4 linked regions of the Caenorhabditis elegans genome follow. The protein of the gene in region 1 purifies or fractionates together with the protein of each later gene. This does not show direct contact. Each region holds a gene or a part of one and is shown in the gene's direction. Other genes may lie near its edges. The genes, in order: trm-61A, metl-1, mtq-2 and trmt-6.

Evidence for each region.
Region 2: the proteins of trm-61A (region 1) and metl-1 fractionate together in Caenorhabditis elegans (co-fractionation; one large-scale study listed by BioGRID). This does not show direct contact.
Region 3: the proteins of trm-61A (region 1) and mtq-2 fractionate together in Caenorhabditis elegans (co-fractionation; one large-scale study listed by BioGRID). This does not show direct contact.
Region 4: the proteins of trm-61A (region 1) and trmt-6 fractionate together in Caenorhabditis elegans (co-fractionation; one large-scale study listed by BioGRID). This does not show direct contact.

What each region holds. Positions count from the first base shown.
Region 1 is NC_003279.8:12,726,065-12,734,690, reverse strand, and holds trm-61A (tRNA (adenine(58)-N(1))-methyltransferase catalytic subunit TRMT61A), read left to right. Parts: upstream 1-1,968; 5' UTR 1,969-1,993; coding exon 1,994-2,163; intron 2,164-2,440; coding exon 2,441-2,594; intron 2,595-2,961; exon of another isoform or gene 2,962-3,033; intron 3,034-3,169; coding exon 3,170-3,301; intron 3,302-3,384; coding exon 3,385-3,560; intron 3,561-4,118; coding exon 4,119-4,319; intron 4,320-4,495; coding exon 4,496-4,601; 3' UTR 4,602-4,665; downstream 4,666-8,626. Other genes in the region: vps-25 (Vacuolar protein-sorting-associated protein 25), read left to right, coding at 595-759, 1,157-1,272; pfd-3 (putative prefoldin subunit 3), read right to left, coding at 5,015-5,245, 5,833-6,102, 6,380-6,436.
Region 2 is NC_003280.10:11,468,174-11,475,453, reverse strand, and holds metl-1 (tRNA (guanine-N(7)-)-methyltransferase), read left to right. Parts: upstream 1-1,878; 5' UTR 1,879-1,891; coding exon 1,892-1,983; intron 1,984-2,034; coding exon 2,035-2,097; intron 2,098-2,146; coding exon 2,147-2,541; intron 2,542-2,974; coding exon 2,975-3,195; 3' UTR 3,196-3,319; downstream 3,320-7,280. Other genes in the region: ngat-1 (Beta-1,4-N-acetylgalactosaminyltransferase), read right to left, coding at 188-597, 647-938, 997-1,179, 1,237-1,358; slc-25A37 (Mitoferrin), read left to right, coding at 3,443-3,496, 3,685-4,389, 4,436-4,552, 5,014-5,094; cisd-1 (CDGSH iron-sulfur domain-containing protein 2 homologue), read left to right, coding at 5,862-5,949, 6,345-6,433, 6,489-6,716; rga-1 (Rho GTPase-activating protein 68F), read right to left, coding at 6,948-7,222. UniProt on the Caenorhabditis elegans protein: Catalyzes the formation of N(7)-methylguanine at position 46 (m7G46) in tRNA.
Region 3 is NC_003280.10:2,184,835-2,193,015, reverse strand, and holds mtq-2 (Methyltransferase HEMK2), read left to right. Parts: upstream 1-3,558; coding exon 3,559-3,669; intron 3,670-4,418; coding exon 4,419-4,643; intron 4,644-5,470; coding exon 5,471-5,800; 3' UTR 5,801-5,867; downstream 5,868-8,181. Other genes in the region: Y59C2A.2 (Membralin), read left to right, coding at 22-134; gba-2 (Putative glucosylceramidase 2), read left to right, coding at 6,595-6,634, 7,247-7,450, 7,501-7,653, 8,053-8,181.
Region 4 is NC_003279.8:9,139,317-9,147,228, reverse strand, and holds trmt-6 (tRNA (adenine(58)-N(1))-methyltransferase non-catalytic subunit TRM6), read left to right. Parts: upstream 1-2,852; 5' UTR 2,853-2,859; coding exon 2,860-2,928; intron 2,929-3,012; coding exon 3,013-3,095; intron 3,096-3,646; coding exon 3,647-4,021; intron 4,022-4,135; coding exon 4,136-4,361; intron 4,362-4,410; coding exon 4,411-4,608; intron 4,609-4,664; coding exon 4,665-4,862; intron 4,863-4,978; coding exon 4,979-5,149; 3' UTR 5,150-5,258; downstream 5,259-7,912. Other genes in the region: ZK858.6 (Transmembrane 9 superfamily member), read left to right, coding at 1,597-1,599, 1,632-1,736, 5,706-5,831, 5,924-6,183, 6,237-6,407, 6,466-6,725, 6,901-7,104, 7,156-7,637 and 1 more.

The sequences.
Region 1 (8,626 bases):
CAAATTCTACTCGATTATCGCCGAAAAATCAGATTTTTCCTTAATTTTAATGAAAAAAAAAACAAGATTTAAATTGAAATTTTTAAAATTGAATTGGAATTTTATAGAATTTTCCCACAAAAATCACATTTTTTTCGCAAATTTTTGGCTCAAAAAATTCAAAAATCTGGAAAAAATATCAAAATTTTTGAAAAAAAAAGAAAAAGGTATTTTATAAGATAAAATTCAAAATTTTCTGACAAAAAAAAATTGGCGAAAAACTCAAATTTTATTTTAAAAATATTATTACAGGAAACTCAAATTTTATAGAGGATTTTTTAGCGAAAAATTTAAATTTTCTGAAAAAAAACCATTTTTAGCGGGAAATTCAAATTTTTAAGTAATTTTTTTGGCGATATATTCAAATTTTTTGAAAAAAAAACATTTTCAGCGGGAAATTCAAATTTTCTGGCAAAAACCCCAAATTTCGCATTTTTATCCGATTTTTCTCTAGAAAATAACCAAAAATCACCGAAATTCAGCACTTTTTGTAGGAAAAAACTTGATTTTTATGTCAAAATTCCAATTTTTCACCCAATTTTCCCACATTTCCAGAACTAATCGAATTCACGGACAACGGCCGTACACGTTTCCACATTTTCTGGCGTCGACCCGATGTTTGGGCCAATATGATCTACCAATGGGCGGTTGAGAATGCATTTATCAATACACCACTCACTTTATACGAGATTACCCACGGAGATGATACTACAAATGAGTGTAGGCAGATGAAAAGCATGAAAATCCTATGAAATTTGGTGAAAATCGAGCTCAGCACCGGAAAATTTGAAAATTTAACAGAAACTCCACCAAAAAAGTTCTGAAAATCGATTTTGAGCTCAAAAACTTTGAATTTTTTCCTAAATTTCCAAAAAAAAAATTGGCTTTTTTTTTTTGAAAATTTTGACTTTTTTTCGGATTTTTGGTAAAATTTGCAAAAAGTGTCCGAATGGCTCAGTGCGAAAATGCTCGACTGGGAGAAAAATCACACCGGGGTTCGAGTCCCCACTGTGGTCGAAATATTTTTACTGGCTTTTTTCGCATGTTAAAAGACTAAAGACTAAATCAAATGCGCTGAACTCGAAAAGCGATATATAAAATTCAAATTTTTTTTCAGCATTCCACAATTTGGAGCGTGAAATTCTGATGAAAGCGTTGACATGTTTGGAAGAGCAACGACGTGCTCAATTGATGAATATCGGTGGAGATAATGAAGGCGTTAAATTTATTTGATTTTTTTTTTCTGTGGAAAATCTTGAATTTTTTCCCCTAAAATATGTAAAAATTAGAATTTTTATTATTTATTTCCACTCTTTTTTCTAGTTTTCCAATGAAGCTTCTTGCCATTTAATTATACATTTTTCGTTTTTTTTTTGTAAATTTTATTTTTTTGTTGTTCTAGACGGCTTTATGTACCTTTAATAATGACTTTTTTTATTGAAAATTTGAATTTCCGGGATTTTTTTTTCAGAAAAATTTAAAATTTAGCTTTGTTCAAAAAATTGAAATTCCCGCCAAAATTTCCATTTAAATTCGCTGCAAACGCGCTCAATAGATAATTTTGTCAGAAACCACAGGAAAATTCAAATTTCGCGCGAAAAATCGTCGTTTAATTTCGATGCAAACGCGCTCCAATGCAACTTTTTAAAAAAATCGAATTTTCTCGTTGTTTAACCCTGAAAATCCGCCAAAAATCAGATTTTCATCGTTAAAAATTAAAAATGTTTCAATTTTCTCAAAAAATGTTTTTATTTTATTTTTAAAAACAGTTTATTGCCAGAAAATGCTGAAAAAACTCAATTTTTGACGAAAACCCAAAAAATTCGCGCCAAAAAAATTAAATAGCTCTGCAAACGCGCTCCAACGCAAATTTCCTCAAAAACCCGCATTTTTAGCTCATTTTTCTTCTAAATTGCTCGAAATTTTCAGTTTTCTACATTTTTTTCAAAAAAGAATGACGTCATCACCACCGTCATTCATGTCATATGAAGATCGTATTCAAGAAGGAGATACTGTAATTGTCTATGTCACCTATGGACAAATGGTCCCAACAATTGTCAAACGGGGACAGACTTTAATGATGAAATATGGAGCACTACGTCACGAATTTATTATTGGAAAAAGGTGAAAATCGAATTTTCGAAAAAAAAAAAGGATTTTCACGGTGAAAAATCGGCTTAAAATGCAGAAAATAGCGATTTTTCGAACGTTTTGCCAAAAAATGGTCAAAAACGTCAATTTTTGAGTTAGAATTGTCAAAAAATAAAAAATAAAAAATCGCCGAAAATTCTCAATTTTTCTAAAACTCAGAAAACCAGGGTTTTTAGTCAAAAATCGCTGAAATATCCCATTTTTTTAATTAAAAATCGATATTTCTTTTCAACAATCAATAATTTTACAGATGGGGTCAACGTCTCTCGGCTACAGCCGGCTACGTCTACATTCTTCGTCCAACTTCTGATCTTTGGACTCGCGCCCTGCCACGTCGAACACAGATCCTCTACACTGCTGATTGTGCTCAGATTTTGTCGCTTTTAGACGCAAAACCCGGCTCTGTAAGTACTGAAATTGAGCTCAGCACCCCCGGAAACCCCCCTCGCAATTTTGGCTCGGCGGTGAATTGGCGCAGTGGGAAAATACACAACTGGGAATCACCGGGGTTCGACTCCCCGCTGTGGTCGAAATATTTTTACAGCATTTTTTAAAAATTTTTTTCATTGTGTAGGGTAATTCAAAGGTGTTGAGCTCGAAAATCGATATCTTAAAGTTCTGAAATTATTGGATTACACCGAAAAAATTGAAAAATAAAAAATTCCCGGAAACACTTTTTATCGCAGTTTTTTGAAAATTTTCATTATCAAATTTGAACTCAGCGACCTTGAAAAACCACGGAAGTCAATTTTGAAGCAATTTTGTTTCGGCGGCCAAATGGCGCAGTGGAAAAATTCATGGCTAAGAATTATCACACCGGGGTTCGACTCCCCGCTGTGGTCGAAATATTTTTACGGCATTTTTAAATTTTTTACATTGTTAAGGGTAATTCAAGGATGCTGAGCCCGAAAATCAATATCCCAAAGCCCATAAATTTCTAGAAAATGCTAAAAAACACTGAAATTTCCAAAATTTTCAGGTAATCTGCGAATCGGGAACCGGAAGTGGATCCTTGTCCCATGCAATTGCACTGACCGTTGCACCAACCGGACATCTGTATACACATGATATCGACGAAACACGTACTCATAAAGTTTTGGAGGAATTTAAGGTTATTTGAGCAAAAAAAAAATTTTGAAAAAAAATTTCGCAAAATTTTTTTTTTTTTGGAAAATTAATTTCAAACATTTCCAGGTTCATGGCCTAGGATCCGTGACGACGGCCGTCGTTCGAAATGTCTGCACCTCTGGATTCCACGTGGAAAACGCTGCCGACGGGGTATTCCTGGATGTACCGGCACCGTGGGAGGCAATCCCATTCGCCGCAAAATCAATTTTCCGGGCTCGTGGAGGTCGTCTAGTGTCTTTTAGGTAGCTATCAGTGGAAAAATTGAGCCTGATTAAGACTAAATGGGCCTGGGACCCGAAATATTGCCGAAAAATTTCGCTTTTTTTTTTAGCTTTTTCGGTTTTTTTTTCCAGTGAAAATCGGATAAAAATTGGAAAATTAACACAAATTTCAAACTTTTATCAAATTTTGTTCGTAACAATAAATAGAAAAGGGAAACAAAAGTTTTTTTTGGAATATCGAAAATTCAAAAATTTCGATTTTTCGAGGTGCTTAAAAAAATTTTTTTGAATTTTTTTGTAAAAAACTGAACATTTTGGTCATTTTTGTTAATTTCCAATTTTCTGCAAGAAAACAGAAAAAAACGAAAAATTTTGATTTTGTGAAAAAAACTGGAAATTTTGGCAATTTTCATAAAATTTTAATTCAAAAAAATTGTTTTTTTTTACTTTTTCGTTTATCTCAGAAAAAACCGAAAAATTTTACATTTTCCGGCGACTCCCTGCAAAAATTGAACCCGAAACCCTCGTTTTCAGCCAATTTCCCCAATTTTTGCTCCAAACCCCCGATTTTTCTTACAGTCCGTGCCTGGAACAAGTCCAACGTGCCTGCCTAGCCATGGCGGCCGCCGGTTTCGTGAGCATCGAGACGATTGAGCTCGTTCCCGAGCAGAAGAAGATCGTCAGTCAACACCGGCAGACGCTTGAAGAGTTTGAAGAGCTCGGTGATGCTTATCCGAAGGAACGGAAGAGAAATGTCGATGGAACAATCGTTGAGCAAAGGTTTGGGCATTTTCCATTGATTTCTGGCTGCTGAGATGTTGATTTTCGAGCTCAGGACCCTTGGTTTACCCTAAAAAAATTGAAAAAGAACCAATAAAAATATTTCGACCACAGTGGGGACTCGAACCCCGGAGTGAAAATCCAGGCCATCGAGCTAAAATTGTGCAAATTTTCAGCAGCTCCGCCATTCCACGTATCACAATTGCAATCGTCTATCCATATTCTCAGCCAACACACACTGGGTACCTGACTCATGCCACGATGCTCCCGGTCGCCGAATAATTTATTTTTTTAATTTGATTGTTGATTTTTTAAATTTTTGTTGCTGTTAAATTTTTTGAATTTTTGAATTTCGTGAGAAAAATTGCAAATTTCAAGCTAAAAACGGGAAAAAATCACGATTTTTGGAGAAAATCTTTTGAAAAATAGTGAAAAATATCCAATTTTAGTCAAATAATATGGGAAAATCGATTTTTGTTTTCAAAATTTCTGCACTTTTTTGGATTTTTGAATTTTATGAAAAATTGGCGAAAAATTATAGCAAAATTTAAAAGCAAATCGGGGGGATGTGGCGGGACAAAAATACGGAAAATTCAACAAAAATTCAGCAGAAACAATCAAAAAATGGGATTTTAAAGGGGATTTCAAGAGATTTTTCGGGCGAAAAACGGGGAAAATTGTGTAATTTTGATCAATTATTTCGCTCCATTATTGACAGCGAGAGCGGCACGACGTTTATTAACTCCAAAATTGACAATATGGGACATGTTGACTTCGGTTGTGGTGATTTGATCCTTAATATATGACAATTCGTTTGTCAGCTCGTCGACCACTTTTTGAACGGAGCCACGGTTTTTGTCGAGCAGTTTTCGAGCATTTTCAAGGTCATATTCGACCATTACGTTGGCTCCAAGCCAGATTGATACCTGGAAATTTCGGGAATTTTAGAGGGTTTTTCTGAAAATTGAATTATTGAGCCATTTTTAGGGCTGAAAATCAGAATTTTTAATGTTTTTCCGGGAAAAATTGCTAAAAAATTATAATTCTGGGTTTTTGGGAGGAAATTGCTTTTTAAAATACGAAATTTTGAGTTTTTTCGATAAAAATTGCCGAAAATTGCTGAAAGTTGGTTTTTTGAAGTTTTTCGCATCAAAAATTGATTTTTTTTTTGAAAAATAGCTAGAAAAAAATATTGTGAAGTTTCCCTGTGCAAGTTGACTAAAAATTCTAAAATTCAGCCTTTTTTAATGCTGAAATTGGCTTAAAATGAGGATTTTTAGGTATTTTCTTGGGAAAAAAAAAATTAAAGTCAAAAATTCAAATTTTTGCGGTTTTCAAGTGCCAATTTCCTTAAAAATGGGGTTTTCTGGCATTTTTGTGTTAAAATTGGTTGAAAAATCACATTTTTTGTGAATTTTCGAGGAAAAAATTGTGGGAACTTGATTTTAGGCGATTTTTCCTTGAAAATATCGATTTCCAGCTATTTTTCTTGAATTTTCAGCGTTTTTTCTACCTTCTCGGGCTTCTGAACAGTGGCTTTTGTGTAGACATCATCGGAGAGCAGGAAAGTCGTCTCGAACGACTCATCGGCGGCTCTTTTCGCGATTAATGTGTCGATAATGCTCAAACTGTTCTCGAATTCCGGGATTTTTTCGCTCATTCGTACTTTTTGAGCGAGCATCGATGATTCGACGTATTTGTACTTTCCGTATTTCTCACGGAGCACAACTTCGGCTTCCTCGATCGAAAGCTTCTCCTTTGTGAGCCATGACTCGACGTCTTCCTGAAAAAAAATGGGGTTCAGAGAGGAATTTGTGAATTTTCTAATATTTTTTAAAGATTTTTCACTAAAATTCCAGAAAATTTCCATAACAAACTCCAATTTTTGTTTGAAAAATAGGATTTGACATTTTTTTCCCGAATTTTTCAGTTTTGAGGGAAAACTTAGTTTTTTGAGGAAATTCTTGAGACTTCTTCCAAAATTCAATGGAAAATACTGGTTTACTGGATTTTTTCTCGAGTTTTTAGAGATTTTCAATTTTTTAAATTTTCCGACTTACAATGAGCTCGCTTTTTGGGATTCCACGTGCTGATAGACTGTCCGCTGTGTCCGACATGATTTTTCAATGAAAATTTGCGAAAAAACGCAAAAAATTCGAGGAAAATCGGTAAAAATTGAGCGTAGAAATTCCGGGGAAAAAGAAAATTCCAGTTGACGCGTTTTTCGATCCCAGTAAGTGCGCCAGCACTCGCCTTGGCGCGTTTCTCGACGAGAACCAGCGAGAGAGTGCGGGGAGACATTGAGACGCAGAGATTTTTAATGGAAAATCGCAGGAAGTAGCTGAAAATCCCTGAAAATTCAATTTTTTTTCTAAAAAAAAGATAAATTTCAAATTAAAAATATCATTAACCAAACTCTGCGTCCATCACACAAATCGGTTGCGGTGGAAAAAAACGAAATCGGATACGGTGGATGAGCGGAAGCTTCAAGTGGCCCGCGGGAAAGCTTTTGAGCTTTTGAGCACATCTTTGTGAAGTTTCTATCCGCCAAAGCCACTACAAAGACTGTATCGATGGGTATTGTGTGCAGATTTCCGGAAACCGAGCCGTATCTTTTCCAAAATTCTCATTTTTTCGCCAATTTTCTGTCGTTTAGGATGGAGATTTTTGCTTTTGTACGTTTTTTTGTGGAATATTTGAAAATTTTCTAAAATTGCTTTTATTTCTCAAAAAAGAAACTTTAAAAATCAGGTCTAAAACCCTTAAAAATGTGATTTTTCTTATATGGCCTAGAATTTCAAAAGTTAGGCCATGAATAAAATTTTCAGCATTACTCAATTCAGAGTTCTCCCCGCTGAGAACTTTCAAAAAGTATAATCAAGCCATACTTTGAAATTTTCAAAAAAAAACCCTTATGCGCCTTTAATTTTTTTTCGCAGCGAGACCCAAAACATGTCAATATGGGTGTCATTTCAAAGCTCTCAACGAGCTTAATATGATTTTGATATTCATTCTGAGAATAACCCAAGTTTTCGAAAAAATAGTTTAATATCCAAAAAAAGTATTTTCAGCTGCTATTAGAAACTTCCGGGGGTAAATGACGAGTAACTCCACCCTTCTCACTTAAATATTCCGCCTGGTGCCGGATGGCTGCCGAAATACGTCAAACTTCTATTTTAGCCCCCCGTTGCTGCTCCGTTTTTGCTGAAATTGAGCTGGAATTTCGTAGTTACTAATTTTTCGGTTCTTTAGAAAATTTCCAGTTCTCAGAGCTATTTTAGGCCAGAAAATTTTCAATAAATCATTTTTTCCAACGTGTGTGACAGGTGATGTGATTAGAAAATTTTTAGTTTTTAATCTGAAATTTTTTTTACTCCAAAAAGGTTTTTTTCAATCAATCAAATCCGAAACAATTTGAAAAACGTACTATTTTTTTGTTTTTTCCCGAAAGTTAAATTTTTTTTAATAAAAAACGTTTCGAGGACTAGCTTTCATATTTTTAAATCTAAGATTTGGCTGAACTAGGCCATTTTATCTCGGCCACGGCCGGTGTCGATTTACGACGCGTAGGGGTTCGCTTTTAATATACAACTATTTTTTGTCCTTCTGTTTCTGAAAAAAATACATCAAAATTGGAGAGCATGGTTCTGGAAATTGTCGGAGTAGGTCTCAACGCGAAAAAGGTTTAAAGGTACATAGGTATTGCGAAATATTTCGAAATTTCGAATTGGCGTGAAAGTAGCCGCTGACCTATTATCAATACTTTTGCAAAGAAGTTCAACGGCGCATAGAGTTTTCGCAAGTTGAGTTGAATAGGAATTCAGTGTTTTTTCGATTAAAAAAATCATGGCCTAACTTCAGATTTGTAGGCCACTAAGCCTTACCGCCCCTGTAACCAAACGGACACATGGTGCCAGGCTGTCCCATTACGGTTTGATCTACAAAAAATGCGGGATTTTTTTGCAAAAAAAATGTGACGTCAGCACGTTCTTAATCATGCGAAATCAGTTGAGAACTTTGCGTCTCTTCTCCCGCGTTTTTTGTAAATCTACGTAGATCAAGCCGATATGGGACACTCTGACACCATGTGTATGGATTCTCCCGGAAGATCAGAATCCCCATTAGATGCAGACTTCCAAGCTCTCGGAGCACAAAAAAATCCCAACTAAAAGTACTTTATTCCATAAAAACACAAAATCCAAAACGTTAAGTTCCAATTCGAGGCTCCACTTGCCAATGGAAGGACTTCAGTTTCTTCATGATCCGCTGGATTAGCTGGAGCTTCTGCAACCTCCGAGGGTTCCGTG
Region 2 (7,280 bases), on another chromosome or scaffold:
AAATCACTTGATTTATCAGAAAATAACATTTATTCCAGCTGAAACAATGGATAAAAACCTCAAAAATTACAAAACAATTTTTTAGTACTTTCTCCAATGTTTTAGCTGAAATTAATAGTTTTAAGATAAATTTAAATCAAGTGATTTTTTATATTTTGACACTAGAAAATGCCTGATAAAAACCTACATCAACTTCGGCGCAGTCCGTTTCCTCTTCACATGCTTCAACATAGAATATCTCCCTGTTTCAGGATTTGGTCGTTCAATTGTGTAATTTAATGAAAGTATTCTCTGTCCCATATCATCGTCTTCACCTCCCCACGCCCAGAATTGATTTGAATATCCATTAACTGCACGATAATCTGCCATTGATACTGCTAAAACGCCTCCGACAATCTCCTTGTACCACAATTGATATCCCAGATTACTGACAAAAGCTCCAAGATGACGTGGACCAGGTGGGCACGAATACGGGTTCCGATCGTCTTGTGGGAACATGTCGACGTCGTGGAAGACTACACAATCGACTCCAAGGCTTTCTGCGAAGATAAATGCAGCATTCATAATTCGGCCTTTGTTGAACAAGTCGTTTCCATACTGAAAATTTAATATTTTTATTTAAGCATTGCTTTAAAAAAATTCTTACTTGTTCAGTAACAATGAATCGAAAATCTAGCCGCTGTCGTTGAAGTATTGGAATCAAAAAGTCGATCAATCGAGTCAAGTGAGTTTGCCTTTCTCGATATGGAATTATCACTGCGATTTTATCGCGAGCCTGACAATCATCCGGTTTCCATGAGCCACCTGGGCCAAGTTCTGGATGAATTGCGTGTACTTCTCCTTCTTGAAGATTTTGAATCAAAAGTGTGGCTTGTGGAAGAGCGCCTTGAAGATCTGGTATTTTCTCAACTATTGGACAAGATCCGTCCTCTTCGGCGCTGAAAAAATAAAAAAAACGTTTAGTTTAGATTCACAATAATCACTGAAAAAACTTACATTTTAACCGGTGGCTTTGGTTTTGTGACGGCTTCTTCCATATTTAAAAATGTTAGCGTCTGTCGAGCAATTTCCAATTCAACAGGATCCTTTATATCGTGTGTTCTTTCAGCGACTCCGCTGTTTTTTGATTGCTGTACATTGACATTGACAGATCGAACTTGCTCTTCAGTCGCTGCTATCCTGGAGACTATTTAATATTTAGTATCTCACATTTATAAAAATATATCAAAAACAAACCTTCTTTCATCATTTAATGTAGAATTTCTGAGTAGCATTACATAGATTAGTGTGGAGGCGGCAACGAAAATGATAAGTCGTTTCGGAGAAAAACTACGTATTATGCAGTGTGAGGTCCTCATTTTAAGTAGCTTTTACCGATAAATCAATGCATTTGAATTCTGAAAATTGGAAATTACTTTTTGAGGGGATCAGAAAAGAAATCCGGCTGTAAATAGAGTAAATAGGTGTTGAGGGGAAAGTTATGTGACAGAATAAGAGAAAAAGAACGAATGCGTGGCTGTGAGAAGTATATTCAGAACAACTGCAGTGGTTGTCCGGTCTTTTTTGTTGTAAGTGAAGCAACGGGAATTGTTGTGAAGAAGGCGAGAGACAATGCGAAACCTAGGAGACGCCGAGAACTCCCCAACACGAAAGTTGCGCACGAAAATTGATTGCTGGCGCAAATCGAGTTACGCTTGGCGCACTTCACGATCTTCTCATTTTTTTATTTTAATTTTTTTCCTTTTATAACTTTAAAGTTAACTTTCAGTAAATATAACTTTTAAATTATTAAAATTTAACTTTTTAAAATTAAATTGCGCATTTTTCAACTACCTCAATGTATAATTTACGTAAATATTTACATAATTTACTCGTGATTTTCAGCAAAAACATGGACATAACTCCTGCGCTGACAGAAATGGAATTGGATCACAAACCTACTTGCGAGACAGTTCCAGGGTTGCCTCAAAAGAAGCATTATCGGTTAGTTTCTGAGAAAACTAAAGTTTAATATTTAATAAAAAAGGATTTCAGGCAGCGAGCTCACTCGAATCCTCATTCTGATCATGACATTGAATATCCACTGACTCCAAACCAGTGAGTAAAATTAAAGTGTTACCTTTTGTTAAATTTTGACAATTTTTAGTATGGATTGGACCAAATATTACGGCGATTACACAAAAGGACGTCAAGTGGATTTTGCAGACATCGGATGTGGTTATGGAGGTCTTTTGATGAGATTGTCACCTAAATATCCTGATAATCTGATGATCGGTATGGAAATTCGTGTGAAAGTGTCGGATTACGTAAACGAAAAAATCCAAGCACTTCGAAAGCATCACGCTGAAGCTGGTCACTACAGAAATGTAGCCGTTCTCCGATCAAATGCCATGAAATACATGCCAAATTATTTCCACAAAGGACAACTTTCCAAGATGTTCTTCCTTTTCCCAGATCCACATTTCAAGAATAAGAAGCACAAATGGCGGATCATCACTCCAACACTGCTCTCCGAATACGCTTATGTGCTTCGTGAAGGAGGTATGAGAGTGACCTTGATCGTACCAGTGATCACAAGTGCAGATAATGGAATAGGAATAGTTTCAATGATAAGAATAGCGTATCAACGGTTGAAAATGTGTCTTTGTGTCCCTAATTCTCGCCATCAAACAATATTTATCATCTAACCGCGTGGCCGTATGCTGCTGCGAGACATTTCATCACCGAACATTTTTCTTGACTTTCGATAGATCTCAGAAAACTTTCCAATCTCTGAAGCTTTAATTGTTTCAAATTTGCACGTAGGCTTCTATCTTCAATTCCCTGCCCAATAAAATTAACAATCCGTTCCATGTGTGCCACGTGAGAACTATAGCTAAGTAGAAACCTGTTCCTTTCTCTGTAGCTCTGCGCACCTACAAGTGCATTTTCCCGCTGTGCCTATTGATCTTTGTTATAACTTTTATTTTTTCAGGTATTATCTACACAATCACTGATGTCAAGGATCTACACGAATGGATGGTCAAGCATCTCAGCGAGCATCCACTTTTCGAACGGCTGACTGAAGAAGAAATGAAAAAAGATCCGATTGTGGAAATGCTCTTTGAAAGTACTGAAGAAGGACAAAAAGTGACTCGAAATGACGGAGGAAAGTGGCCAGCAATCTTCAGGCGACTTCCGAACCCGGCCTTATAATCCCCTCTGCCTACTTCCAACATTCATCAATTTTTCACGAGACTCTCCCTCCTCCTCCGAGGTTGTTATTTAACTATTTTGTTGATTTTGTGTTTTTGTCTGTTAAATGAAATCCAATTCTTCTAATAGTCTGATTTTTTGAACTTATTTCCATCGAGTTTTCAAACTCTACTTATATATCTATTAAATTTAATCAATTATTAAATTTTTAAATCGCATTTTCAGCAGATACTCAGTACTGGGCAAAATGGGTGGCGGTGGCGAAGATGAGTACGAATCACTTCCAACACACAGCGTCCCGGTAAGAATTTTAATTAATTAAAAGAGATTGACAAAATTGAAGATTTCGGCAAAAATTAACCGTTTTCTTCAAAAAATACGTGTTTTTTTTTGAGAAGTTCCATTACGAATTCGGCGCATTTTTATTAATTAAAATTTTTTTATTAAATTAATTTTCAATTAGTGTTTCCCATTCTATCACAATCTAAGATTCAGGTGCACTTGACAGCTGGAGCCCTGGCCGGAGCCGTTGAGCATTGTGTCATGTTTCCATTCGATTCGGTCAAAACGAGAATGCAATCACTTTGTCCGTGCCCTGAAACGAAATGTCCAACTCCTGTACATTCACTGATGAGCATTGTTAAACGAGAAGGATGGCTTCGACCGCTACGTGGAGTTAATGCAGTTGCTGCAGGCTCAATGCCAGCTCACGCTCTATACTTCACAGTTTACGAGAAAATGAAGGGATATTTGACGGGAAACTCCGCGGGACACAGCAATACGTTAGCATATGGAGCTTCTGGAGTTGTTGCAACACTTATCCATGACGCTATCATGAATCCAGCAGAAGTAGTGAAGCAAAGAATGCAAATGGCTTTCTCTCCATACGGATCATCGTTGGAATGTGCTCGATGTGTTTATAATCGGGAAGGTGTGGCGGCTTTCTATAGATCATACACGACACAGCTGGCAATGAATGTTCCATTCCAAGCAATTCACTTTATGAGTTACGAATTCTGGCAGCACGTCCTGAATCCGGAGCATAAATACGATCCGAAATCACATTTAATTGCGGGAGGACTTGCCGGCGGATTGGCAGCTGCTTTAACGACTCCAATGGATTGTGTGAAAACCGTTTTGAATACGCAACAAGCTGCAGAAGCTGATCCAGCAAATAGGCGAATTTTCTTGCAGGTGAGTTTTTTTGAATTCTTCGCATTTTTTTGCTATAATTGAAAAGAATGAATTACAGGCTAGGTATCGTTATCGTGGAATTTCTGACGCCGTACGGACAATTTATTCTCAACGTGGACTATCCGGATTCTCGTGTGGATTACAAGCTAGGGTCATATTCCAGGTAATGTCTAAGATTTTTGATTTTCGTGCCAAAAAATACGGTAACCGGTCTCGAAGCGATCGATTGTTTTGAATGCAAAGGGTCTGCACCTTTAAGAATTACTGTAATTCCCAACTAACGGTTACAGCGAAAAAAATTTAGATTTTTCCAGAGAAAATCTAGAATTTCCGATTTTTTATTTTTTTGTAAAAATCGGAAAACATAAAATTTAGATTTTCTGGAAAAAAAAATGTTCAGAAAAAAAAAACACAAAAATTTAGTTGCCAAATTTTTATGATATTATTCCAATAATCAAGAAAAATTTCGAAATATCAGAAAATCACAATAACAAAAAATCGAAGAACAACTTTAGTAATCCTTAAAGGCGCACACTCTGTTAAATTTAAGAAAATCGGCCGCTTCGAGACCTGGTACAGTATCCGGGCAATAGAAAAACCTCAGTTTAATAATTTTTATTCCAGGTTCCTGCAACTGCTCTCTCCTGGTCCGTTTACGAGCTTTTCAAATTCATGTTGTCTTTCGAAGGAGGTCATTCGAGTTGATAATTTTGATCTTTTCTCCAATTTTTCCCCCAATTTTTCCTCTTTTCCAAGGTTTCTCCTCATATAGGTTAGGTTCAATAGTTCTCATTTCTTTTTGTTGTTTTTTTTTCATATTACTCTCAGTTTTCTATGTTTCTTTTTTTTACAAAACACGTGTCAAACCCGTGCAGATGCCTTCTAGATTCTTTTTGTTGTGTTCTGAAAGTTTTATCGAATCCAAATGATTTCTTTGACTATCAACCTATGCGAGCATTTCTAGTGGAAAAGTGTTCATAATAATTGTATCCCATCCCTCCCTCTCTCATCCCTTTATTATTCGAGACAAAAATTCAAATAAATACATAAAAAATTAGTGTTTCCACTGAATTTATATGTTCTTTGTGCTCCGTAGTTTCACACGGAAATTTGTATCTTGTGTCTATTTCTCTCTTATCTCTCATTTTCTCGTTTTTACTGCGATTGGCGCTGATGTTCAGGCGACCGCCTCGACTTCAACGTCACTTTCTTTCTCTTTCACAATTGTTAGTGATCTTATAATGTCCACGAGGCTGAAGATTTTTCGATTTTTGGCGGAAAATGAGCGAAAAATTCTAATTGTAAAATATATCAAATTCACAAAAATCGATTTTCTTTTCGATTTGACCTTTGAAAAAAAGTTATTTTTCTTCTTCTCACGTCCAAATTTTTTAATCAAAAAGATCAATCGATAGATTACGAAAAAAGGTTTTTAAATTTATTTCTACATATTTTACAATTTTCTTCGAAAAATGACCATCGCTGGATTTTGTGCTTTATCTCTCATTCAAGATCACTGTTGTTGGACAACGCCACAGCATTGTTCTGTTGCAGAGCTTGGTAATTTTGGCATAATTTGTTGATTGAACTGCCTCTTATTACACAGATTCACAATTTTCCGATTTTTTGGTCAAAGGTTACGTATCTGGTCTCAAAGCGACTGGTTTTCCAATAGAAAGAGTGTGCGCCTTTAAAGAGTACTGTAGTTGTCAACTCGCGAATTCTCTCATAAATTTTAAAAGATAGCACTTCTGAAAAAGTTATGAAAATTGATACAGTACTCCTTAAAGACGCATACTCTTTCCCAATAAAGCAAAGCGGTCGTTTCGAGACCCGATACTGTACTTTTATGCGAAAATCGCCAAATTTTGCATCTACCTTATGATAAATCGTATATATTTTTTTTCGCTTGAATCTTATTCCTTAAATTTTTTTTGTTAAATTAAATTTTCCAGGTACCATGCCTTGCCCAACTCAAGTCTCTGGTCGCTGTGTCGCCACGACTGCCGCCGTTCTCGCGGGAGGAGCTCTTATTGGATACCTTGTAAGTTCAAGCCTTCCCCTGATGTAGCCTCTTCAATTTCACTAATTAATTTCAGGTTGGTTACAAGTTCGGACAGCGTTCGGCTCGCTGCAACTACAAGATCCAGCTCGACTCGAATAAGATCGTCGACACCGTCGATATTGAGGATATTGGAGAGAAGAAGGCATTCTGCAGATGCTGGAAGAGCGAGAAGTGGCCATACTGTGACGGATCACATGGAAAGCACAACAAGGAGACTGGCGACAATGTTGGCCCACTCATCGTCAAATCCGAAAAGAAGTAAACGTCGTCTCGACAAATCATTGATCTTCATTATCTATTGACTTCTAAATGTTCTTGTGATCGTCGAAAACCATCGGTTTTATATGATTTAGTACGGATACAGTGAATTAATTTTTAGTATAAATGACAAGTGTTTTGAATTTTATTTAATATGGATGCAATAAATAAATTACAGTAAGGCAAAAAAGTACAGAAAAACGGGGGAAAATGCAAAAGCTGAACACCCTAATGATCAATGATCAAATACTGAATCATAATCCACAATTAATTTATAGCAGAAGTTATTGAGGTTATTCAATTGAGAAATCGGCACTTCTTGATCCGTTGGCCACGTCAAATTTGGACCGAAAACGACACTCAAATTGTTTGCAGTCATCAGATTCACTTTGCTGTTTTCGGCGACTCGAGTTAGGAATTTGATGACTGTTTTCAGAAGAATGTAGTTTTCACGAGGCAGAAGCTTCACAAATTCTTTCACGGCGGCGCTTTTCTCGGTTTTCGATACTTCTGAAAGATTCAGATATTAAATAAACACTGTTTTCAATTGACTTTAAATATTTTCTCA
Region 3 (8,181 bases), on another chromosome or scaffold:
TGAAATTTTTGAATTTTGCAGAACCACCACTATCAGAACCGGAGCACGTGGAACGAGAACCCCAAAATGCAGAGGAAATTGTCGCTCACCGGATTGTTAACGACGCGATGAATGAGCTTTTCAATCAGGAATAATTTGGGAAATTTTGAGATTTTTTTGGATTTTTCGGCGAAAAATGAATCAAATTTCGGATTTTTGCAGTAGAAAATCGGATTTTCCATCAAAAATCGTCCTAAAATATAAATTTTCAATTTTTCTTCCGAAAATTCCCAGAAAATTCCCAATTTCCGAGCCATTTTTATTTGTGATGTTTGTGCCCCGCCCACTTTTTCCCACCTAATCATTCCATTTCCCGCCCCGCCCCCTTCCGCCAACAAAAATCGATAATTTAATTTTTTTTTTTCCAAATTTTTTTTGAATTTTATCAGAATTTTTGCTAGAAAACCGCACAAAAATTTCGTTATAGTCAATGGGTATTTTTTAAATTTTTTGTTTCCGATTTTTCGGAGATTTTTATCGAAATCACCGAAAAATCGATAATTTCCGTGAAATTGTGATATACCAAATTTTTATTGATTTTTTTTTCTTCGTTTCTCTGTACATTTTCACTTCATTTCCTGTTTCTTCCAATTTTCCTGATACAAATAAATTATGAATTAAATCTGAAAATAATATATTTTTGGTCGTCAACTTTCCCCAGATTTACCTAAAAACAATACTATTACTAATTTTTTTTTTTTTTAATCCTTAAAAATCGATCTGAAACTCAACATTTCTGGTTTTTATTATCAAATTCGAGTTCCCCACTGAATTTGAGGCAGAAATTCGAAACCTAGAAGTTTCTAGCTCTTTTTTGAATAATTTCGAATTTCGACCGCAACGCGCGTCAAAAATTGCTGAATTTTTAGTTTTCAACCTATTCTGGTCGATATGGGGTTCAAAATTTAGCAAATTTTGCGGGGAATTCGAATTTTCTAATTAAATTTCTCCAAATATTCGGGAGTAGTCTGAAAGTTAGAGTTCCAGTTGAAAATTTTGAGTGAAATGGACTAAAAATTAATTTTTACACATTTTCGGAGCCAAATTCGAATTCCCCATCAAATTTCAGTCTGCAACTCGAAAACTAGAGTTTTCTATCTCAATTTTGACATTTCTAGGAGTACGGTAGCGCCAAAAGTACGCAAACACCGAATTTCACGCAATTTTCGAATTTTGAGCTGAAAATTTAGGAATAGACTAAGAAAATAGCGGAGAATTCGAATTTAATTATAAAAATTTTTTGAAAATGTTTTGAATATCACTTGGGCCGAATTTTTTCATTTTTGCGACCAAAACACAAAATTTCCTATTTTTCAAAATCTAGAAAAAACGAGGATGGTCAGCAAATCCCGAAAGGAAGTATCATCTGTTTCCGTCTCGACAATTTTCCCTAACACGCAGAGACCCCCGCCGGAAGACGGGGGTCTCTGTGAGGGGTCATCGAAAATGAGCAGTCCCAAGAGATTTGGACCTTTTTTTTGCAGAAAAACACAATTTTTCTGTAGTTTTTTCCTGGAAAAAGATGTCAAGTTTAGGTGTTTTCATCGAATTTTTTTGGAAATTTCTTGCAAATTTCAATTTTTACAAAACTTAAAATTTTTCCTGAAAATTTTCATTTTGAAATTCGAATTCCCCGCCATTTTCTTAGTCTATCCCTGAATTTTCAGCTCGAAATTCGAAAATCGCGCCAAATCGGGTGTTTTGGGGGTACTGTAGTCGGTGTTTGCGTATTTTTGGGGCTACCGTAACCGGGAAAAATTCAAAATTGAGCTAGAAAGCTCTAGTTTTCGGGTTTCTTTCTGAAATTTTGCAAGTAAATCAAATTGGACATGGAAATTTCGAATATTTTAGCAATTTATCGATTTTCAGAGATTTTTGGCGTTTTTATTAAGTTCAAAAACGATTCGCAGTATTCTAAATGTAAAATTCGAATTCTCCACCGTTCAATTAGTATATGTGTAAATTTTCAGCTCAAAATTCGAAAATCGCGTCAAATTTGGTGTTTCCGGGTTACTGTAGTCGGTGTTTGCGTATTTTTGTAGCTACCGTACCCCAAGAAATTTCACAATTAAGCTAAAAACTTCTAGTTTTCTCGTCTAAAGCTGAAATTTTGCGGGGAAATCGAAACTATTAATGAAATTCTTGAAATTTGAGTTTCAGACTGATTTTCAGACTGTTTTCGGCTCAGCTCCCAAGCCAAAGATCAGTTTTTTTCCCTGTCTAGTCACCACAGCTGTCAGGGGGTCCCAAGAGATGAGCCCTCAAAGATAAATTTTCTTTGCGCAGCCAAAAAAAACTGACCGCCCAGCCATTTATTTTTGACAATTTTTAGACCGACTGGCAGTGCCAGGACTCCCAAAAAGAGGCGAAGCTTCCGTTTTGGGTCCTCTTTTTTCTTATTTTTTGCGGAGAAAAGAAAAGAGGCGTTGATTGTTTTTCTTGTTTGAAAAAGAACCAGAAAACATGAATTTTCATACATTTTCTATTGAAAATTGCCGGAAAATAAGTCTGAAACCCAAATTTTTGAAATTTTATTATAAAAATCAAGTTCCTCGCAGAAATTCAGTTTTGAACTCGAAAACTAGAGCTTTCTAGCTCAATTTTGAAAGTTTGAGAGTTACGGTAGCACCAAAAGTACGCAAACACCGACTACAGTACCCCCGAAACACTGAATTCGACGCGATTTTCGAATTTTAAGCTGAAAATTCATGGTTAGACTAAGAAAATGACAAGGAATTTGAATTTGATAATAAAAATCCGGAGAAATTTTTTGATTTTTTTTGAAATCAAAGATTGAGTCACAAAAATCTTCTGAAAAAGACCTCACAATTTTTTATTTAAATTTTTAGTTTGAAATTTGAATTCCCCGCCAGTTTCTTAGTCTATCCCTGAATTTTCAGCTCAAAATTCGAAAATCGCGTGAAATTCGGTTTTTTGGGGTATTGTAGTCGGTGTTTGCGTACTTCTGGCGCTACCGTAACCCGGGAAATTTCAAAATTGAGCTAGAAACTTCTAGTTTTCGGGTTTTAGCCTGAAATTTTGTAAGGAATTCGAATTTTGCAGTCAAGTTTTAAAATTTTGGCTTAAAAATCGATTTTCATAAGATTTTCAGCCAAAAATTTGAATTTTTTTTTCAAAATTTTTGAAATTTTTGAATTTTCTCCAATTTCTTCCAAACACTCCCAAGTGTCATATTAACCAATTTTGACCCCAAAAAAGTGCAAAATGTCCCCACAGAAAGTCTCCCAAAAGTGCAAAAAACCAGTGAAAAGCTGTCAATCTCATCATCCGGCCGCCGTCTCAGATTTCTCCCCCTTTTTTGCACTTTGCGCGTCAAAAAAGGGCGGCAGAATGAAATTCGATTAGAAATTCTTTCTTTTGTCGCCTTTTTTTCTATTTTTGGGAGAAAAAAATTTTTTGAGAAAAAAATTTTTTTTTTTTTTTGGAAATTTTTTTCCAGATTTTCTTTTTTTTTCTAAATTTTCGATTCTTTTTTAAAAAACATTTCCATTTTTTCAGATGTCAATGCCAACTCCCCAGTATCGGCTCCAAGCGATTCGAGCCCATGACGTCTATGAGCCAGCCGAGGACACGTTTCTCCTCATTGATGCTATTGAGAAGGATATTAAGGTAAAATGAGTAGGAAATTCGAATTTCTCGTAAAATTTCGGTTGGAAGCGCGGAGAACTAGAAATAATTTTGAAAATTTTTGAGAAAAAAAAATTTGGAAAATTTGGCGAACAAAAATTTACAACATTTTTTAGCCTAAAATCAATTGAAACTTTTTTTTTTGGTTTTGATAATAAATTCGAATTCCTCGCAAAAATCCAGTCTAGAATCCCAAAAACTAGATGTAAATTGCTCAATTTTGAAAAATTTTGCATTTGAGCCGCGACGCGACCGCAACGCACCTCAAAATTGCAGATGTTTTGGTTTTTAACCGAAACTAGTCGATGTGGATGTCAAAATTTCGGAAATTTCGCGAAGAATTCGAATTTTTAGTTAAAACCGTGAATTTTCAGAAAGAAATATTCTTAAACTTGAAATTTTTGCCGAGTTTTTAGTCTGAAATTTAAATTTTAAAATTTTCATTGCCGTATTTGAATTCCCTGTAAAATTCTAGTCAGACACTCAAAAACTAGAAGTCCCTAGCTCTTTTTTGAAATTTCGAGGGTTACGGTAGCGCCGAAAGTACGCAAACACCGACTACAGTACCCCCAAAACACCCGATTTCACGCGATTTTCAAATTTTGAGCTGAAAATTCAGTTTTAGACCAAATAAATGGCGGGGAATTCAAATTTAAGGATGAAAATTCGCGGAAAAGTTTTTGAACCAGTGAAAAATCTGAAAAAAATCCCGAAAAACCTCAAATTTCCAGGAAATCCGATCTCGCGACCCCAAGCTTGTACTGGAAATCGGATGTGGTTCGGGAGTCGTCTCGACGTTCGTAAATCAGGCTCTCGGCGGAAATGTGACGTCAGTGGCGACTGACTTGAACCCACACGCGTTGGATGTGACACTGGAGACCGCAAAGCTCAATGATATTAAGATTGATGTGGTTCGTACGGATTTGTTTGCAGGATTGGAGAATCTACTTGGGAAGGTTGGTAAAGTTAGAGAAAAATTTGAAAAGTTGAAAAAAAATCATAAAAGTCGAAGGCTTTTGAAGAAAATTCCTCGAAAACTGGTGTCCACAATTTTTTATCAGAATTTTCATTATCAAATTCGAATTCACCGCTATTTTCTTAGTCTAAACCTCAATTTTCAGCCCAAAATCCGAAAATTGCGTAAAATCGAGTGTTTTGGGGTACTGTAGCTGGTGTTTGCGTACTTTTGACGCTACAGTAACCCTCAAAATTTAAAAATTGAGCTGGGAAGCTCTAGTTCTCGAGTTTCTGACTGAAATTTTAAGAGGAATTCGAATTTACAATTCAAATTCAGAAATTATCAAGTAATTTTGACACGCGCTGCGGTCGCGTCGCGGCTCGAAACTCGAAAATGTTTAAAATAACGCTAGAAAAGTCTAGTTTTTTTGCAACTTATTTAGAATTTAATGGAGAATTCAAATTTCTAATGGAATTATAAAAAAAAGAAATCTCAGAATTTATAGAAAATGTCTCCCGGTAACACAATTTCCGTGATATTTCTCGTGTTTTTATGTAAATTTTTGAACTCTCCACAAAATTCCCAAAGTTTTGACACCCATATCGACTAGATTCGGTCAAAAACCCAGGGTTTTGGCTTTTTAACGTGCGTTGCGGTCGCGTCGCGGCTCGAAACTCGAAAATCTTCAAATTTAAGCTACAAACCTCTAGTTTTCGATTTTCTCACTGATTTTTCGCAGGGATTTCGATTTTGCCGATGAAAATTTAGGTTTTCTGAGTTTTAGCGACGAAAATTTTCTTTTTTTTCCAAATTTTTATTTTCCAGGTAGACGTGCTCCTCTTCAACCCACCGTACGTCCCTACTGACGAAGAGCCCAAATCAAACATCGAATTGACCTACGCTGGCGGCCGAACCGGTAGATCAACGCTCGATCGTCTTTTGCCACGTGTCCCCGAGCTTCTGTCCCCACGTGGTGTCTTCTATCTCGTCGCACTTCACTCGAACGATATCCCGGCACTGCTCAAAGAGCACTCGGAGCAAATGACGGTGTCAGTGTCAATGGAGCGCCGTTGCGGCATCGAACATTTGTATATTTTGAAATTTGTGATGAAGGAGAATAATGTTAAAGCGGCGCCACTTGCGGAAATTGAATAAATTTGTTGTTTTTCTTGGATTTTCGATAAAATTCACGGAACTTCAATAAAAAATCTGAAACCACTGCATAATTTCAGTTTGTATTCGAGAAAACTAGACGTTTCTAGCGATAATTTGAAAATGACCACTGCAAGGCCGCGACGCGACCGCAACGCACCACAAAAACCTTTTTATTGACGAATTCGAATTCTCCACTATTCAATTAGTCTCTCCATAAATTTTTAGCTTAAAATTCGAAAATCGCGTAAAATCGTGTGTTTGGGGGTACTGTAGTCGGTGTTTGCGTACTTCCGGGGCTACAGTAACCCGGGAAACTCCAAAATTGAGCTAGAGAGCTCTAGTTTTCGAGTTTCAGGCTGAAATTTTGCAAGGAATTCGAATTTTACGGTGAAAATCTAAAATTTTGCGATTCAGATCATTTTTAGACAGTTTTAAAAAACTAAAAAAATTCTGATCTGCTTAAAAACTTTTTGCCACATTTTCCAAATCTTCTCAATAGCTCGAATGTGATTGTTCCTAATTTCAAATAAATTTTCAAATGTGAAATCATCTTCTGACTTGAGTTTTCAGTCAGTTTCTAGTCACTTGTGACTTCCAGGCCACAGAAAAGCACAAGAAGCACACACATTTTTGTGCGATTTTGTGTGGAAAGTGACCAAAAAGTCAGTAGCTGGCTAGAATCACAGGCTACTGATAAGAAAATGACTTCATCAGTACAAATTGAACTGATTTCTAGCTTATCAGTATACGAGTATTTAAGTTGAAAATGAGAAAGGAGGAGTAGTCTACACATAATGTCTATAGCCTGGAGTTGCTTTGTTTTAGGGCTTTTTGGTGAGTTTTTGATTTTATAAACTTAAAAAAAAAAAATTTTCCAAAAAAATTTAGAATGTTTTCTATTTTTTTCTTAAATGTCCACTAAAAAATTTAATTTTCCACTTCATTTCTAGCTAAACACAAAAAACTAGACCTCTCTAGGTCCATTTTGAAGATTTTAGTATTTGAACCGCGACACGACCGCAACGCACCCCAAAATCCTAAAATTCTTGGATTTCATCCGAATATAGTCGATATGGGTGTCAAAACTCAGCAAATTTCACCAGGAACTTGATTTTTATTACCTAAAAAAGTTACGATATACCGTTTTTCCAAAAAAAAAACTTTTCTTTAATTTATCTTTAAAAATTTTTGAAAACAATATTAAACAATTTTTTCAGCACTCAATTCGAAAGCCAATTCAACTCAAAATTTTAATATTAATACAAAAAACTAGACCACTCTAGCTCCATTTTGAAAATTCCCATATTTGAGCCGCGACGCGACCGCAGCGCACCCCAAAATCCTATAATTCTTCGATTTTGTCCAAATATAGTCAATATGGGTGTCAAAACTCAGAAAATTTCATGACTAATTCGAATTTTTCAACGAAAAATTCAAATTTTTCAGCCCTCGCCTCCCTCCAGGTGGCACTCGCCAATGATTGCGCCCAAAAAACCTTCAAAACCGGAATTGTGTGTGTCTGCAACATAACTTATTGCGATGAGATCCCAGATATCAACTTACTATCCGGGCAGGCTGCCACATTCACAACTTCCAAATCCGGAGCCCGACTGCATCGGGATGTGGTTTATGCGACAAATAGTGACCCTTGTAAGCAACTTTTTTTTTGAAAATTTTTACCGTAATCTCAAAAACTACAGTAACCAGCATGCACTTCACAATTGACTCGTCAAAAACATATCAGACAATCCAAGGATTTGGCTCAACGTTTTCCGATGCTTCTGGTGCGAATTTGAAGAGCTTACCCGATCAGATGGCTGATACAATTCTGAGACAGTATTTTTCGGATTCTGGTAAGTTATTCGATAGAAAATTCAAATCTCTACAACTTTCCCTCTTGAACCAACATTCTAGGACCAATTTGAAGAAAGTTATAGCAATAGTTCAATGGAGCGCGTTTGCACCATCGAAATTTTTTGCCAATTTTCAATTCCTTGTAACTTTGTTCAACGGAAAGCTACGAAGTTGGTGCAAACTGGAAAATAGTAGATCATAACATTTTCTATCGATTGACATAAATTTTGAATAAAATCTGTGAGGTTTTGCAAGTGCGCTCCATTGAAATTTGGCTATAACTTTGCTCAACGTAGTAATAGAGCGTTGGTTCAAGAAGCGAATATGTAGAACATTAAAATTTATATAAAAATGCAACTGCGCTCCATTGAACTTTTTACCTAACTTTGCTATTTCAGGCCTGAACCTGCAATTCGGACGGGTTCCAATTGCCAGCAATGACTTTTCAAGTCGTGTCTACACTTATGACGATAACCTTGAAGACTACAATATGGCACATTTTAGCCTGCAAAGGGAAGACTATCAGT
Region 4 (7,912 bases), 3.6 Mb from region 1:
GCAGTGGGAGCCGAGAACTGGCCACTAACGCAAAGTGAAGCGTTTCAGGCCACTCTTGGGATCCCAGAAGTTTTCACGTAATATATTTCTGTTGAAAATTGAAAAATGAGACCTTATGATCATTTTTCTTAATATAGAATACTATATCCTTTTCAGAATTCTCATAAAACTAGGTATTTTATTGAAAAATAGCGAAAATTCGAGGGAGCGCTATAGAAGTTGCACGGTCGTTTTTCAGACTTTTTGACCTAATTACCGTAGTCTTTGATATTTTTTCATGAAAATTTCGGACAGGGGGTTTTTTGACATTTGATATCGAATGGCTATAATGGTTTTCTCAAAAAAGTTTGGGAAAGTGACGAAATACGAAAAAAATAGGGGGCGCTATAGAAGTTGCACGCACTGTAGTAACCTGCTATTTAATAAGGCTGATTGGAACTCCCCTATGATCATTGATCGATGCAAGTGTTAAACTCTGGAAACGTCCCCTCAAACAACTGACCAGCTAAACGTTTTCACATGGTTCACATGTGTTTTTTCGTGCCAGGTGGAACCGGGGTGATTCCCGAAAGATGGCAACAAAAACAAAAATGTTTCTTGATTGGGCATTGATCCGATTTGTTTCAAGATTTCATAAACATTACGATTCTTCCGAAAGATTACACGATATATGAATCGTATAACAAGTCTTTTAGTAAATTCCAAGAAAATGGAAGTTAACTTAGTTAACGATTTGCATTCTTCTAGTTCAAAAGTTCTAACCGACCTCAAGTAATAGTTATAGACCTAGGCTCCTAGAAGCAATGAGAATGAATTTGAATGTTCACAAAATGACCAGTTCATCAAAACGTTACGAATCAGTTGGTCTCTATCACTTGGGAAACATGAGCGGGAAATGATGATAAAACTGTGAAATAAAACATGAGGTTCCGAATTTAAATACAAACTCTGATGGATTTAGTTATGCACTGTGGGAGTTATATGGGAAATCTAGACTAATGGGTGAACATACAAAAGTTCATTTTTACTTTCAGTTAGACAGGTGACAAATAATATCGGTTTGCGGTGTTCCAGTAAAATCATACATCAGATGTGATTATTTTCAGTTCGTATTGTAAGCTCTATGTACTGTTCAATACTTGAATTGGGAAGTAAAATCTGACGATATACTACAGTAATCCCTTTCTGTCATATTATCGAAAAAATACGATCGAACAATTTTCTCATAATTTATTTTTGATCTACCTTGTTGACTAGGCTCCTCCCCTTCCTTTGATAAAACAGCCACAACAAAATAACAACGGCATCAAGATTGGGAGCGGAGTCAAGTTCAACAGGTAGATCAAAATTATGAGAAATTTGTGCGATCGTATTTTTTCGATAATATAAGTTCATTATTACCAGGTTTTCTAAATTTAAGTCGAAATTTCAGGAACTTTTCTATTTTCGGTAAACAAAAATAATACGTTTTGAACATGTGTGATAACCGGATTGAGAGAAAAAGTTGAAAAAGATCACAAGACTCCAAAGTTCCGTGGAAAACCTCACTGATAACGTAACCTTGATCAGAACATTCGGGTATCTTTTATAACAATAATGGTTGGCAGTTGGCAAACAAGCAATCTTTAAAGATCGCCTTCACACACTTTTATTATCGTCACTACCACTTTCTATCTCTATTTGATGATTTATCGTCTTATCACAATTTTTCGAGAGACCGCCCAAATCGCGGATCGGTGGGTTGAAAGTCTTTAAAAAGCAAATAAGATGAGTTTAGGGTATTGTTAATAATTCTTTGTATGATAGAGTGGAGAATAGAAAAGTTGAGTAGAAGACGAAAAACTAGTTTTTTCTTTTGAAATGCGGCAATTATCAACAAAATATTGTTGACAAGGAAATTGATTTTTTTTCAAAAATAAAATGGAAACCAATTCAAAAATGTTATATTTACAATCTTATTTAAAGAGAAACAAATCAAAAAGATACAGAGAAATTGTTCGTCAAAGAATGATCGTTCACTAAATATCAACTATCAATTATGAACACACGTTGAATTTCATCTCGTCAGTTGATCGCTCTACAGTTTCTTCTCTGTGTACTTGTTCCTCTAAACTGTGACATTGTAATTGGATACAGAAGACACAATACACATCAAAAATTTTTCTAAAAGAAATACCAAATTTCCCATAATAATCGGTGATTTCAGAATTATTTTAATTCAAAAAATCTGAAAATAAAAAAAAATACAGAAGAGTAACCATAAAAATAAATTTTATATTAAATTTTGTTTAAATTGACGAAAAAAAGCATTAAAAAAATTTGTCCAAACTGAATAAAAATTTCCAATATTTTAAGCTATTTTTTGAAAAACTGCATTTTTTAGAAATATCGAAAGAAAAACTAAAATATTTCGGTTTTTAGTAAAAAATTTTTAAAAACCCTCACCCTGGGCTCAATTGATGTTTTTGTTTCGAAAAACATATTTCTGGGTGCAAAAAAAACATTTTTGTTGAATGCTTTTTGTCTTATTCAGTTTTTTTTCTCAAAAAATACACTTAGCTTACAGTCCGGAATCCAATTGCATCTGAATAGTCCGAGAAAGCTATTCCAAATGTTTTGAACTCAAAAACTGCCCAGTTTAAAAGTACAAAAAACTATTTCAAAAAAGATGTAAAAGTTCAACTTTAAACCAATTCAATACCTCTCCTAACAAATATTCGAATATTTGCAATCTCTCATTTTCCCTCTTTTATCACATTTTTCCCGATATTCTTTGACTACTTTATCGTTCGTTCTCTGTTGCCTTTCGTAGCCGTCTCGTCGATTTTCAATTGAATATTCAAATTTTTCAGATCAAACATGGAAACCGAACCTGCGGAAACATCACAAAAACTCATAAAAAGTGGAGAGTATCTTATCGTGCAAAAGGTATTTTTTGAATTGGAAAAAGTTCAATTTTCACATTAAAATTGAATTGAAGAACAAAATTACAGCAAAAAAAATAATTTTCAGATTGATGGCGAACAAAGTCGCATAGTCCGGTTTACTCCAAAGCAAAAGATTCTCATTGAGAAGCTGAAGTTTGTAGCCGATAGGTAAGGTTTCCAGTTCTAAAATTAATTATAATTTTCCGAATAACTTCCAATTTTCGAGCTCTTTCAAATGAAACTTTGATCACAAAAAAACCACAGTGACGTCAAAGTGCATTCTAAACATAAAACACGTGCCCCGTTTTTCAAAAGTCACATATCAATTCTCGCCCCTTGTCACTAACCGATTATAAATTTTTCTTTTTTTTCGACGATTAAAAATCGTTGTGCAAACACTTTGACAAACAGTTTGATTAATTCAAAGAAAAGGGCAGCAGACCCTACGTTCAATTGATTCAACTGATAATATTAATGGGGTTAAAGTGGTTTTTTCTATTGGAAAAGTAAACTGAATGCTCTGCAAACTATTTTGTGGTTTTTCTTATATACGTCCAAAATACCCAGAACCGTTCCTCCTTCTTTAAGATCTATAAAAATTCGAAAACTTGTAAATTCACTAAAAAAAAAAGGTTTTGGATAGATTTTAGGCCGGCACTGTATGTGGTACCCGAACAATGATGGTAAAAGATACTGTAATGAAAGAATGATATTTTCAGTGCATTTGGAAAGCCTCATGGTCTATTCGAAGTATCCAATAATCAATGCCTTCCAATGTCAGTTGATCGTCTAATTGAAGAACTTCAACTTCAAGAAGCATCCGTTGCCACCTCATCCATAGATCCTGAAGTAACAGAACCATCGGAACCATCTTTAGATCCACGTGTTGTTATCGCGCCTTCAGCACTTAAACTTGAGCCCGAACAAAAACGTCAAAAATTGGAAATGGATGCCGTATTGGAAATGAAGAAGCAAGGAGTCAGTGGACAGGAAATGGTTGCCAAACTTGTTGAAGGTTCAGCATCATTTCAGACAAGAACTGTCTTTTCACAGAGCAAATATATCAAACGAAAAGCCAAAAAACATAGTGATCGGTACGTCAGCTATTGTTTTTAAATTTAAATTATTTTTGAATTTTAAGCTTTTGAGTTTTTTATTGATAAAAGTGGGGTTTTGCCGATTTCTACTTCTGCGAATAATAATTTCAGAGTATTAATCCTCCGTCCAACCATCCGTCTTCTGGCTAAAGCTTATTATTTGAAAGATCCTGATCGTCTTGCGATGCTTCGTGCTGATCAATTAGCATTAATTCTTCAAATGGCAGGGCTTCACCATGGAAAGAATGTCGTCGTATTTGAACAAACACTTGGACTTATTACCTCTGCAGTTATTGAAAGACTCGGTGGAACTGGTGCTTGTATTCATATTCATAGGGTTTATTCTTCGAAAAAAAACATCCTTTCAAAATATATTGGTTTTACAGGGTGCGGTAGCTCAATCAATTCCCTGTGTTCATTCTATGAATTACGATGATAACACACTTTCCACATTTTTACCGGTTCGAATTAAGTGTGTTCTAGCAGGCAAACATCTGCCATATGACAATAACCGAAAGGCTGTAAATGGGGATGATGATAATTTGGAGGAAGTCAATGGAGATAAGGAACCTGAGAAAATCGAGGTAATTGAAAAATTAGGACAACGTTTTAGATGGAAATAAATTTTTAAATTTTATAGGATCAAGATCTAGAGGCTCTTGCTCGCCGAAATGATCGTTTGGATCGGGAGAAGAGAGGAATCGATTTGATTAATGATGAACAAATTCATTCTTTAATTATTGGAAGTCGTACTGTCGATCCTATCAGTGTTTTGGAGCTTCTTTATCCCAAACTGGCACCATCTGGGACGATTGTCATCTACTCTCCTCATCAAAATGTAAAAATTATATAAAATATTATCTTTTTTTCACATTAAAGTGACCAGATTACATTTTAACTGAATTCTGGCTCCAGTTACTCAAAAAACCTTTTAAAAACTATTTTCTGTTCCAGATCCTCATCTCAGCATACGATTGGTTGTCAAAGCGTCAAACAATCAATTTAGTTCTTACTGATCAAATGTGTCGTGTAATGCAAGTTCTACCTGATAGAACTCATCCGTTAATGGCTCAGCACGTCGCTGGCGGACATATTCTCACTGGAATCAAAGTTATTGACCAATAATTTATTATTATTTTTGTTATTGTTGTTTTTCTTTTTTCAGATCACCGTATTCGCATTTTATTTGTTATTTTTTATTGTTGAATTTTCCGAGTAAATTGCATATTTCCTCAATCTTTTACACTTAAAATTTAATAATATGTACAGTTCAATACTTCAATATTTATTTTCTTTATCAAACCATTATATCTTCCTGGAAAATGCCATAATTCTGACTGAACAAATATAGGCAAAAAAGTGCGCGTCACACTTGCAAATTACCAATCCACGCCATTTAGCCCCACCCACAATACCGCGCCGCATGCGTGTCAACAAGAGATTCGCCGAGCCGATAAGCTTTTGCGCGATTATCCACGTTTCTGCTAGGCTTTTGAATATTATAAATATTTGAAATATTTTCTCTTTTAAACGGTATTTTGAGTTCTAGCTATGTATATTTCAATTTAATTAATTAATTGACGGGCTTTACAAATATTTAGGTTAAGAAATTGTCAATATATTGCTTTTAATTCCCTTCCTATTACATTTTTCTTTCAAATAAGCTCAAAATTATTTACAGCTAATGGCTTATTTACGAACTAGCACCCTTTTGGTGCTCGCCACTCTTATACCTCTCGAGCAAGGATTTTATGTGCCTGGAGTGGCTCCGGTTGATTTCAAAGCCGGAGATGTGATCGATGTCAAGGTAAGAAAATCGCTGCAACGCGATTAAAAATATCATGGTCTGAAAAAAGTGTTAAGAAACCAACTTTTAAAATCTAATTTCGCAATTTACAGGCTATTAAACTGACAAGCTCAAATAATATCATGCCTTTCGAATACTACTCGGTTCCATTTTGTAAACCAGCAAATGGAGATATCCAATACAAATCAGAAAACTTGGGAGAAGTTATGAGAGGTGATCGAATCGTTAACACTCCATATGCTTTCCATATGAAGAAGAACGAACAGTGCGTGTCAGTATGCTCGAATAAATTGTCAAAAGAAAATGTCGCCTTGTTCAAAGAAAGAATTCGACAGGAATATTCTGCTCATTTGTTAGTTTTATCATATTCCCCGTTTTTTCTGTGAATTTATTGCATTTTTATAGAATCGTCGACAATTTGCCAGTTGCTACTGTTATCAATCCAGCGCAATCTGGAGACGTGTACTACGATTTGGGATACCGTCTCGGATGGATTGGCGACAATGCAAAAGTTTTTCTCAACAACCATCTTCAATTTGTCGTCAAGTACCATCAGCACACTCCAGGGCTCTACAGGTTAGTTTTTTTTTTATTAAAAAAGTATTTTATGAAACAACCAGTGTAATTTCTTCAGAGTCGTTGGATTCGAAGTCCGCCCACGATCGATCTCCGCCACGAAGAACGATGATGGAACTTGCTCGATGCCAGATGATGGAACGAAGCATGTCGAACTTGGGGACTCTGAACAATCCGTTGATTTTTCATATTCAGTAGCATTTGAAGAGAGTGATGTTCCATGGGCTTCAAGATGGGATGTTTACCTGACTACCAAGGCTGTCGATATTCATTGGTTCAGTATTCTCAACTCAATTGTTGTCGTTTTGTCACTTTCTGGTGAGTACGATTCTCATCGCACATAATAATTACCAAATTCTTGCGTTCATACTATTTCGCGTTTTACTTCTAGTAGATGAAGAAAGAGATAGCGAAATAGTATGTTTTTGAGTGTTTCTTTTGAGAAAATAAGTTTTCAAAAACCAAATTATCAATAATTTTGTTTCTATTCCAGGCTTTGTAAGTGTCACTATTGTTCGTACAGTACGTCGTGATATAGCTCAATATAACCGTGATGATGAAGAAGACGACACATTAGAGGAGACAGGATGGAAGCTTGTCCATGGAGATGTCTTTCGTCCTCCACCACATCAAATGATCCTTGTGAATATGGTTGGAACCGGAATTCAACTTCTCGGAATGTCAGCGATTGTTGTTGGTTAGTTATATCTGAAAAAACGAAAATTTGATATTAAAAATAAACTTTCAGTCTGTGCGATGCTTGGTATGCTTTCTCCAGCTTCGCGAGGATCTTTGATGTCTGCTGCCGTGTTCCTCTTCTGTTTCATGGGACTTATCTCTGGATATCATGCAGGTCGTCTCTACAAAACAATGAAGGGACGTAATCCGATTAGATGTGCAGTCCAAACGGCTACTCTATTTCCATCTCTGATCCTTGGAGCAGGCTTCCTTCTCAACTTTTTCCTAATCGGAAAACATTCGTCAGGAGCTGTTCCGTTTGGAACAATGGTTGCTCTTCTCATCATGTGGTTCTGTATCGACATGCCGCTGATCTTCCTCGGTTTTTACTTTGGATATCGCAAGCAACCGTACACTCACCCTGTCAGAACCAATCAAATTCCTCGTCAAGTTCCGGAGCAACCCTGGTTCCTCCGTCTTATTCCCAGTTCACTCATCGCTGGAGTTCTTCCATTTGGAGCCATGTTCATCGAACTTTTCTTCATTTTTAACGTAAGAGAGTAGTGACTATTGTTTTTACTTTTTAAAATAATTTCAGGCCATCTGGGAAAATCAATTCTATTATTTATTCGGGTTCCTCTTCATTGTATCCATCATTCTTGCCATTTCGACGGCTCAAATCTCGGTTGTGGCCACCTACTTCTCCTTGTGCGCTGAAAATTATCGCTGGTGGTGGAGATCGTTTGTCATTTCTGGTGGATCATCATTCTATGGTATGGTTTTTTTCAAATCTTGTACTCTGAATTCATGACGACTCCATTTTTTTC